Linked DNA regions of Sus scrofa. The protein of the gene in region 2 interacts with the protein of the main gene of each other region in a biochemical or structural test. Links are inferred from orthologs where the notes say so. Each region holds a gene or a part of one and is shown on either strand. Other genes may lie near its edges.

Evidence for each region. The genes of interacting proteins can lie anywhere in the genome.
Region 1: the proteins of ERBIN (region 2) and ARHGEF7 interact in a test that uses a peptide from one of them, tested with the Homo sapiens proteins (2 studies listed by BioGRID and IntAct). The link is inferred for Sus scrofa from reciprocal best matches to the Homo sapiens genes ERBIN and ARHGEF7.

What each region holds. Positions count from the first base shown.
Region 1 is NC_010453.5:77,517,098-77,521,592, forward strand, and holds part of ARHGEF7 (rho guanine nucleotide exchange factor 7), read left to right. Parts: intron 1-330; coding exon 331-420; intron 421-3,013; coding exon 3,014-3,190; coding exon of another isoform or gene 3,191-3,228; exon of another isoform or gene 3,229-4,495. UniProt on the Homo sapiens protein: Acts as a RAC1 guanine nucleotide exchange factor (GEF) and can induce membrane ruffling. Functions in cell migration, attachment and cell spreading. Promotes targeting of RAC1 to focal adhesions. May function as a positive regulator of apoptosis.
Region 2 is NC_010458.4:44,530,629-44,534,488, forward strand, and holds the end of ERBIN (erbin), read left to right. Parts: intron 1-602; coding exon 603-710; 3' UTR 711-2,725; downstream 2,726-3,860. UniProt on the Homo sapiens protein: Acts as an adapter for the receptor ERBB2, in epithelia. By binding the unphosphorylated 'Tyr-1248' of receptor ERBB2, it may contribute to stabilize this unphosphorylated state.

The DNA of each region.
Region 1 (4,495 bases), on a different chromosome or scaffold from region 2:
TGGCCCTGCCTAGTGGGTCGGGGATCTGGTGGTAGTGTGAGCTGTGGTGCAGGTCGCACATGCGGCTCAGACCTAGTGTGGCTGTGGCTGTGGTGTAGGCCGGCAGCCACAGCTCCAACTCTGCCCCTAGCCGGGACCCTCCATATGTGCGGGTGTGGCCCTAAAAAGACAACACAACAGCAGAAACAAACAAAAGTCCTTTAGGATGTAACTGTTTTGTGACTATTGGAAAACACCTGTAAGCTGTCCCTGTCATTGGTTAATGATCCGCATTCCTGGGTTACCTGTGCTGGTTGTTTCTGGCCGGTGACGTGTCGTGTGTCCTTGCAGGCACGGCTGCGCTGGAGGAGGACGCCCAGATCCTGAAGGTCATTGAGGCTTACTGCACCAGCGCCAAGACGCGCCAGACGCTCAACTCGAGTGAGTGCCCAGGGACGGCCGGGGCCCCGGACTGGCTCGGCTGAGCAGTCCGTCCCTCATGGGGGCGCATCCTCGGCCAGCACCCCTGCATCGTGGGGATGGGCCTGAGCTGTTCAGTAAAAGAGCTGATTTCTAACAAGCGCTCCACTGGGAAACCTTGAGGTGTAAGGGCCGGCCAGATTTAGAAACCCTGTCAGGCTTAGAAGGCAGTGGGGGGAGTCTGTCAGCTCAGAGTGTGCCGGTGGTGTGTTGGTTTCTGGCTACTTAGAATTGTTGCCAAAAACATAAGCCTAGGCCATTCCTTTTGTGGCTCAGCTGTAACGAACCCAACTACTATCCATGAGGATGCAGATTCGATCCCTGGCCTCGTTCAGTGGGTTAAGGATCTGGTGTTGCCGTGAGCTGTGGTGTGGGTTGCAGATGCGGCTTGGAACTGGCGTTGCTATGACTGTGGTGTAGACCGGCCGCTACAGCTTCAGTTGGCCCATATGCCGCAGGTGCGGCCCTAAAAAGAAAAAAAAAAAGCCTAGAGTAAGTTCTTTTAGCCAACTCCCCCTTTTAAAAATGATTGCATTGAGAAGTTTTTGAGATGGGTACCATTGAATTCACCTGCATCTCACTGGGCGCAGTGTCTTAGGTGAAAAAAGTCTGTATCTGTTGAGTGAACAGTGAGAAGAGGACGCTTTTCTGTTTTAATTTCCCCAGCATTTGGGAGTTGAGCACAGGGTGGCGAGGCCTCAGATGGGGTGTGCATGTGGTTTGTTCAGGAGGAGGCCAGAGCTTCCTTTGCTGGCGCTGGGGGCCCCGGTGTCCCCCTCCCCATCTGGAAACTCGTTTATGGCCAGGAGTTTATGTGTCCACCCGTGATGACGCCCTTGGATGTTCGGTCCGTTCTCTGGTGAGAAAGCCTGTCCCTGGTGACCAGTCCGGGGCAGGAGGACCTGGAAAGGCCTCACCATGGCGTGAGTCTGCAGACGATGGAGTGGTAGTTTTGTGACCGTCCTTGTCATTTAAGACGCGACTGTTCCATGCAGTCACTAAGAGACAGGATGCTGAGTAACAGGCTGGGAAATGTGACCGTGGTTTTTTTCGGTTTTGAATTTGAGACTTTAAAAGAATTACTCCTCTCAACTTCAGCTATTTGAAATGAAATTTTAAGCTGATGGTCGTCTCACAGAGCAGAACGGGTGATGCCAGCGCTGCGTGTGTTTCTTCGTGCAAGAGACGGGGCCCTGGTGTACGCAGGTCTCATCTTGGTGTCTGTGTTGTGTGTCCATTTCTCCTGCTGAAGGAAAGCACTGGCCAGTGCATGCACTTTGGTCTTTAGTCGATCTTATGGGCTGAGCACTCTGGGGCCCCCGAGGGCGTGCAGTTGCAGCTGGCCTCAAACGTGGCCTTCTCAGGGGCAGGTGGGGGAGATGGGTCCTCGGTGCTGGAAAAGGGGGTGGAGCTGAGATGTCTGGAGACGGATCGGGCAGAGGAGCTTTCGGTCTCGGATGTACAGTAAAGACGGCGGATCTGTCTAACCCCAAGTCCACCTCCACTCAGGATGCCAAGAAGGCTTCATCGGGCAGGCGGCTTTGGTAGCGATTCCTTGCTCAAGGATGTAACGGCTTCCTAGACAGTAGGGATTTAGGCGAAGAAATCCGAGTCAGCCGGCTGCTTGCCCTTGTGTGGTTTGGAACAGCTTTACCTCTGAGACCAGGCACAGGAGGAGCCGGTGCTGCTGTGCGGAGCCCACCCAGGTGCCCACCCACTGCTGCCGGGCCAGTGTCACTGCTCACCGTCACCTGCCACATGGGCTCCTCTCTGTTCCCCACGTCCCTCCGCCCTTTTCCTGCCGTAGAGGCGTTACCGTCGCGTCTCCCTTTGTGCTGCGGGGAGTGTCCGTGTCAGGTCGGTGGCGTTGAGCAGATGTGTCCCCTCCCCCCAGTCCCTCACCCTGGCCAAGGGCTGGTGAGCACCCTGGGGCTGGGGATGGGCCCACCCTGCGGCTGGAGGAGCCAGGGGCAGTGGGCCTGTGTCACCCCCATAAGGTAAGTTTGGGACCCCCCCCCCTCTTTAAAATGGCTTCTGCTGATTTGGATGGAGTCTGGCAGAGAGCCTGCTGCAGAAGTAAGTCACAGATTCCTGGGAAGTGTTTTGCACTCGGCGTATCCACAGTGACCCTGTAAATGCTCCCAACCGAGACAGTTTGTTACTCAGCTGTGCAGCAGGCTTGCTCACTGTCACATGTCTTCAGAATGTTCTTGTGGACGTGAGCTTAATTTGTCATAAAACGATGCAGTGAGGGCCTAAGAGCAAGAGTGTCACAAAGAGCAGTTTGGAGATGGTTCGGGGACTTGGGTTGAAATAGTAATTGCTCTCGCTTTACTCTGAGGGTTGTGCTAATTAATGAGCTCGTTATTACAGTCCAGCCATGAATGAGGAGAAATGAATGTTGTTGCATTTTTTAACAATATTTTCTCTTTCCCTTCTCTTCCCATCACCTTTTGCTTTTGTTTTCACGTTTTGGTTGTGGCTCTTCCTGCCGTCCTCCCGCCCCCCCCCGCCTGTCCCCCCCCCCTCCGCCCCCGCCCCCGCCCCGTCGTAGCATGGCAAGGCACTGACCTGATGCATAATCACGTCTTGGCTGATGATGACCAATCAAGTCTAGACTCCTTGGGTCGTCGCAGCAGCCTTTCTCGCTTGGAGCCCTCAGACCTCTCGGAAGACTCTGACTATGACAGTGTATGGACAGCCCATAGTTACAGGATGGGCTCGACCTCTCGTAAGAGCTGCTGCTCATATATCTCTCACCAGAACTAATGCACCTCTGAGCTGTTCTTAACGATGCCTGTTGTACTGCAGCCTGCTTTTCTTAGATGTTTCCTTGCTGTTTCCTGTCTCTTTTATGTGATATTTTAACAACCTGGAGAGCGTTTCTGATGTTTCCCGTTGTACTCTGTGCAGGCCGACTTGCCGTCACCGACTGTGGACGGGAACGGCGGGTGCCCGCGGCCCGGGCCTCCGGGGGGCAGTGCGGGTCTTAGAGCTGCACGTGGTTTGGTTCTATTCTCAGCGTAGCGACTGTCTCGCTCTGTGGATGCAGCTGTATGAGCATGTCTGTGTTTTGTACTGGAACCACACGGGCGTGGGAGCCAGGTGCCAGCCACACGGGGGAGACTCGGCCCCGTACAGGGGTCTAGACGGTGTGTGGGCCAGACACAGCGACCGGTGGGTGAGGCGCGTGAGGAGAAACCTGCCTTCAGGGCCGAGCCCAGTGCAGCCGAGGCCTGAGCCGACTCAGGCCCCGGCTGACCACGAGGGGCCTCTGGTGGTATGGCTGGTGTGGGCTCCGGGCCTGGGCAGAAGCACCCCCGGCCGAGCACGTCCACCCACCACGGATGGGTGTCCCCAGGTCCCCACTTCTCGGCAGGCCAGACGCCCACTCGGCATCACCCCAGACCTTGCTCAGGTGGAGACGTGTCAGGCTGCGTCAGGGCCGCCTCTAAGCTTACCTGAGGGCTGAGGGCACGGCCTGGGTCCCGGCCTGGCCGTCCCCCACCGCCACACCCCCGCCCCTGCTCCCGCCTGTGCTGGGACGCGCTGTCTGTTTCTAGCCACCCGCCACAGTGAAGCCCCGTGCAGCACCTGGTGGCGTGTCCCCCACGTTCCCGGTTGTGACGGGTGTGTGTCCCTGGAGTAAGTCTCCCCTGAGCATGTCTCAGATTTGGGGTTTGCTGGGAGGAGACCTCCCTGCCCTCACCCCCCGAGTTCTGCTTCAGGAAGACCTGCACGTGCCACGTCGTGTTCGGTCGTAGCGCCCGGTCCCCGCTGGGGAGGAGCCCACGGCCATGTGGAGGGCTCCGAGCCAGCGTCCGGGAGCTCCAGGCCGTGGCGATAGGGAGAGCCGTGTCCTCCTGCCCGCGGGGCCGTGTCCTCCGCCACAGCCCACGCTCAGCCCCGCGCTCAGCGTCCTGACCTTGAGCGCCAGGCCCTCCGGGCGCAGCCTCAGCGCCGCGTGCAGGGCGGGCTCAGCAGGGGCGGGGGCCCAGGTGGTAGCTCCCCAACGGCTCGTGCCCTCGGAGGGTTG
Region 2 (3,860 bases):
GAGAATTAAAGTATTTAATTCATGAAAAGCACTTAGAACTGTGTGTCTAGTATATAGTAAGACATTATTAAATGTTTAGCCTAAGTTATATAAGAGGTGTAGTGTTTTTGATCTGGTAGCTCCTGGGCAATGGGAAGACTAGGTCTTGACCTCTACCACCCCTGCAACTTGGTAATCTCAGTGCCCATCATGTCTGACATTGTGCCTTAAACAAGTGCTTCCTAATGTCAGGCTGATTTATGGGAATCATCTGAAAATATGGGCAAGGTATTGGTTCCTGAGACCCACCTGTAGGGATTTAATTTCTGTAATTATGGGGTAGAGCCCAGGAATCTAGATGTTTTAAATTGCCAATGTAGGAGTTCCCTGGTAGTCTGGTGATTAAGGACTTGGCATTGTCACTGTTGTGGCCTGGATTACTGCCATGACTTGGTTTTGATCTCTGGCCTGCTATGGAAGTGGCCTAAATAAATAAATAAATAAAGTGCCAAGATGAGTCTTATTTTCTGCCAGGTTTGCAGACTATCTGGCAGAAATTTAAGTGCACAAATGTAAATAAATTACTGTGACTTTTTTTTAACCATTTTTCTTTTTTCTTCTAGGCTAATGGCTACAGTTTTATCAATATTGAACATGGGCAAGCAGTGTCCTTGCTAAAAACTTTCCAGAACACAGTAGAACTCATTGTTCTAAGAGAGGTTTCCTCATAAGAACCATGGACTAAAAAAAACGGCTCTCAAGAGACAGCAAGATTTATTGGAAGATTCTTGTGGGGGGAATTAATATTTTGGCTATTTTTATATATAAAGAACTCAAAAAATTATGTTCAAATTTGTACATTAATGAAATAATGGAACTTGTGGTTAGAGGGAAAGAACCACTGTACAGTATATAGGGGAGACTCTTGAATTCATACCATATAAAACTTGTTGTTAGGTTTTTAAACATAGCAATCAAGGCTACAAAAACAAATGTATGTTGTTTTTGTATAGATGGTAGGTTTATTTTTGGATTTCATACACATGATTGAACTCTGCAAGGCTCTAGTTAGCCTTGATTGTAGCCCAGAGACAGATGGCAGAGCTATCTATCTCATAGCTTTTATGCCCTCATTTTTATTCAGCTGGTATTAATGTTTTTCTGCTGAAATTACCTTTTTTTTTTTTTTTTTAATGTGGGCAAGAGATTTGAAGTGTTGGCTTTTGCTATGTGCATATTGAATTGAAGAGTGAGTAGGTGAAGGTGGTGCTGGTGGGTTCACTTTCCAAGGCCAGATTAAAACAGTTATTTCCTATAAAAATCTGGAAGCAAAAAATGGGAGGGGAACACTCTTAATGTGTTTTTATTAATAGAATAATGCAATAAAAATATAATGTCTTTTTAAAGAAAAAAAGACAATAATTGCATTTTAAGAGCTCTGCAAGATCTGTTCTTGTCATAGCCATTGACTATATACATTTGTTACTAGTGATTCAATTTTTAATTTTTTAGTCACAGGAAATTTTTAACTCTTCTGTAGATGCATGTCCACACATTTTTTTTTTCATTTTTTTGTCCATGCATTTTCTGTGATGTGGAAATCCCTTCTTTTTTTTTTTTTTTTTTTGCAAATGGTGGTACTTGCAATCTGTTTTATAATTAGTACTCCATTTTAATCTTAATTTATAATTTTTATTTTAAGCAACAAATGAAACTAAGATGGCCAGTTTTAAGATTGTGTTGCTGTAACAAAAAATGTAAGAAGATTTAGGAAAGCCTCTTGATTTCGTTTGGCCTCACATTGCCTTGGTAAAGTAAAAGGAAATAGTAAGAATGGAGCTAGGAAACCAAAGCAAGTTTGTGAAACTGGCACAGTGATAGAGAATTGCTGTGGAAAGTTGTAGAGCAAAGGGGTGGGTCCTTGAGGCCTACCAGTGTGTAAAGGTGTTCAAATAAAGGGCTGTTCCTACAGGTAACATTAAATGTGAACTCAACACTTCAGAGTCTTTAAAGGGTTTCTAAGTGCATCAGTGTAATAGTGTTTTACCACCAGCTGCCTTTGTTCCTCGTTAGTGTAACAAATATTTGATAGAGGTTTAATAATTTTGTCTGTTCAGACCATTAATTTTGTTTTTGTTCTGTCTGTGTAATCAAATAAAATTTGAGTAACATGCAATGGTAAGCATTAATGCATGGTTATTTGGACCAGAAAAAAGTGCCATAGAAGACCAATAACTGTTTTTAGTCGAGGCTAGTTTGGAGCCTTTCATTGGAGCAATATTCAGTTACTGCGATTCATTTTTAATTACTAAGAAATATAATTTTGGAATTTTTAATCTGTTACGCTTTGTTCTTCAACCTTGTTTTAATTAAGACTTTTATAGGACTAGCAAAAACAGCAATCTGTATTATTTTTGCAAAAGTGAGTTGGACTCGTTTGTCTCTTGCTAGTCAGAGTAAATAGGCAGTACTTTTAAAAAGATGTGAACTCCAATACTGCACTTCTTTCAAGATGTTATCAATTGGTTATTGTACTGTATAGTTTTAATAATATTGATTGAAACCCTTTAACAACTCTTTGTAAATTTTAACTCATTTTAGTTGATTTTCAGTACTTATTTACATAGGAATTGATTTTTATGGATATAGTAGAAGAAATGTGCTGTATTTTGATAAAATTCATTTATTGTATGTGTGCTGTAATCTCTTTAAAAAAAAAGAATGACAAACAGCTTCTTTAAGACAAGCCTCGTGTTCCCTTTATTCATTCTTTAATTCTGGCATTCTGAAATTATTTCCATTTTTTATTGTTCTCAGTCAGTTTTTCACATTTACATTCTGTTTTTAATACATGAGATAGGTATAATTTGACATTTTCAACTTCTTTATCTTGAATCACATACACAGACTATAATTTTGGAAAAGGAAATAAGCCACAAAGAACAATTGATTCATCAGTGATCTGAACTTAAGTTAGTTGCCTGTATATTATATTGAAATATTATAAGTGCAACAACTGTGATATGCACTAGTACTTTATTCTAATTTAAAATTTTTTAATGTTCTCTTAACTCATAATGTCAAGTAAGAAAGCTTGTTACCAAGATGAGTAGCATGACACATAACAAAAAACTAATAGCAAGATAGTTTTACGCTTAAATAGCCCAAGTTTTCTTCTAAAATACTGGATAAAGTTAAATAACAAGAACTCTTCATTAGAATTTTTATTTTAGAAATGATAAAATTTCAACATTTGAAAGAGTAATAATTTAAATATTTTGAGAAAATAGAGAAGACATTTTTATATATTATTGAGTAATTTGTAGTTAAGGCCCATACCCATAATTGACATACTTATTTTTAGTAAGTATTATATAGCAAACCATCAAAACCAAAGTTGTCATATTTTTAGTGTTTAGAGGATTATATGTCTAGGACAAAATTACTTACACAAACTAAAGATTTATGCTGATTCATTAAGGAATCATTGGTTTCTCTGAGTCCATGACATTATAAAATCCACTACATATTTATTTTGTAAATATTTTTATGACTTCTTAGGACTTCAAGATGTGCATATAGTTGAAAAATTCTTTAAATACAAACATTGCCTTGAACAGAGCTAAACTTTTAAGTATTTGCTGTGCTTAAAATCCCATTAGCAGTTATATAATATTTTATTAGCATTTATACAACATCCCAAATTGTGATTATGAAATTCAGGGTGAGAAGAATTGTCATAAAAAGAAATACATACAGTTATCTTCTTTGACTATTTAAACACTTAAGTTTATGATATGAAGAAAGTGTAGGTTTACCTTGAATTACTGTTTTTTACTTCTGAAGGAAGGCATTGGGATGGAAATGTTTTTTGGTTAGTT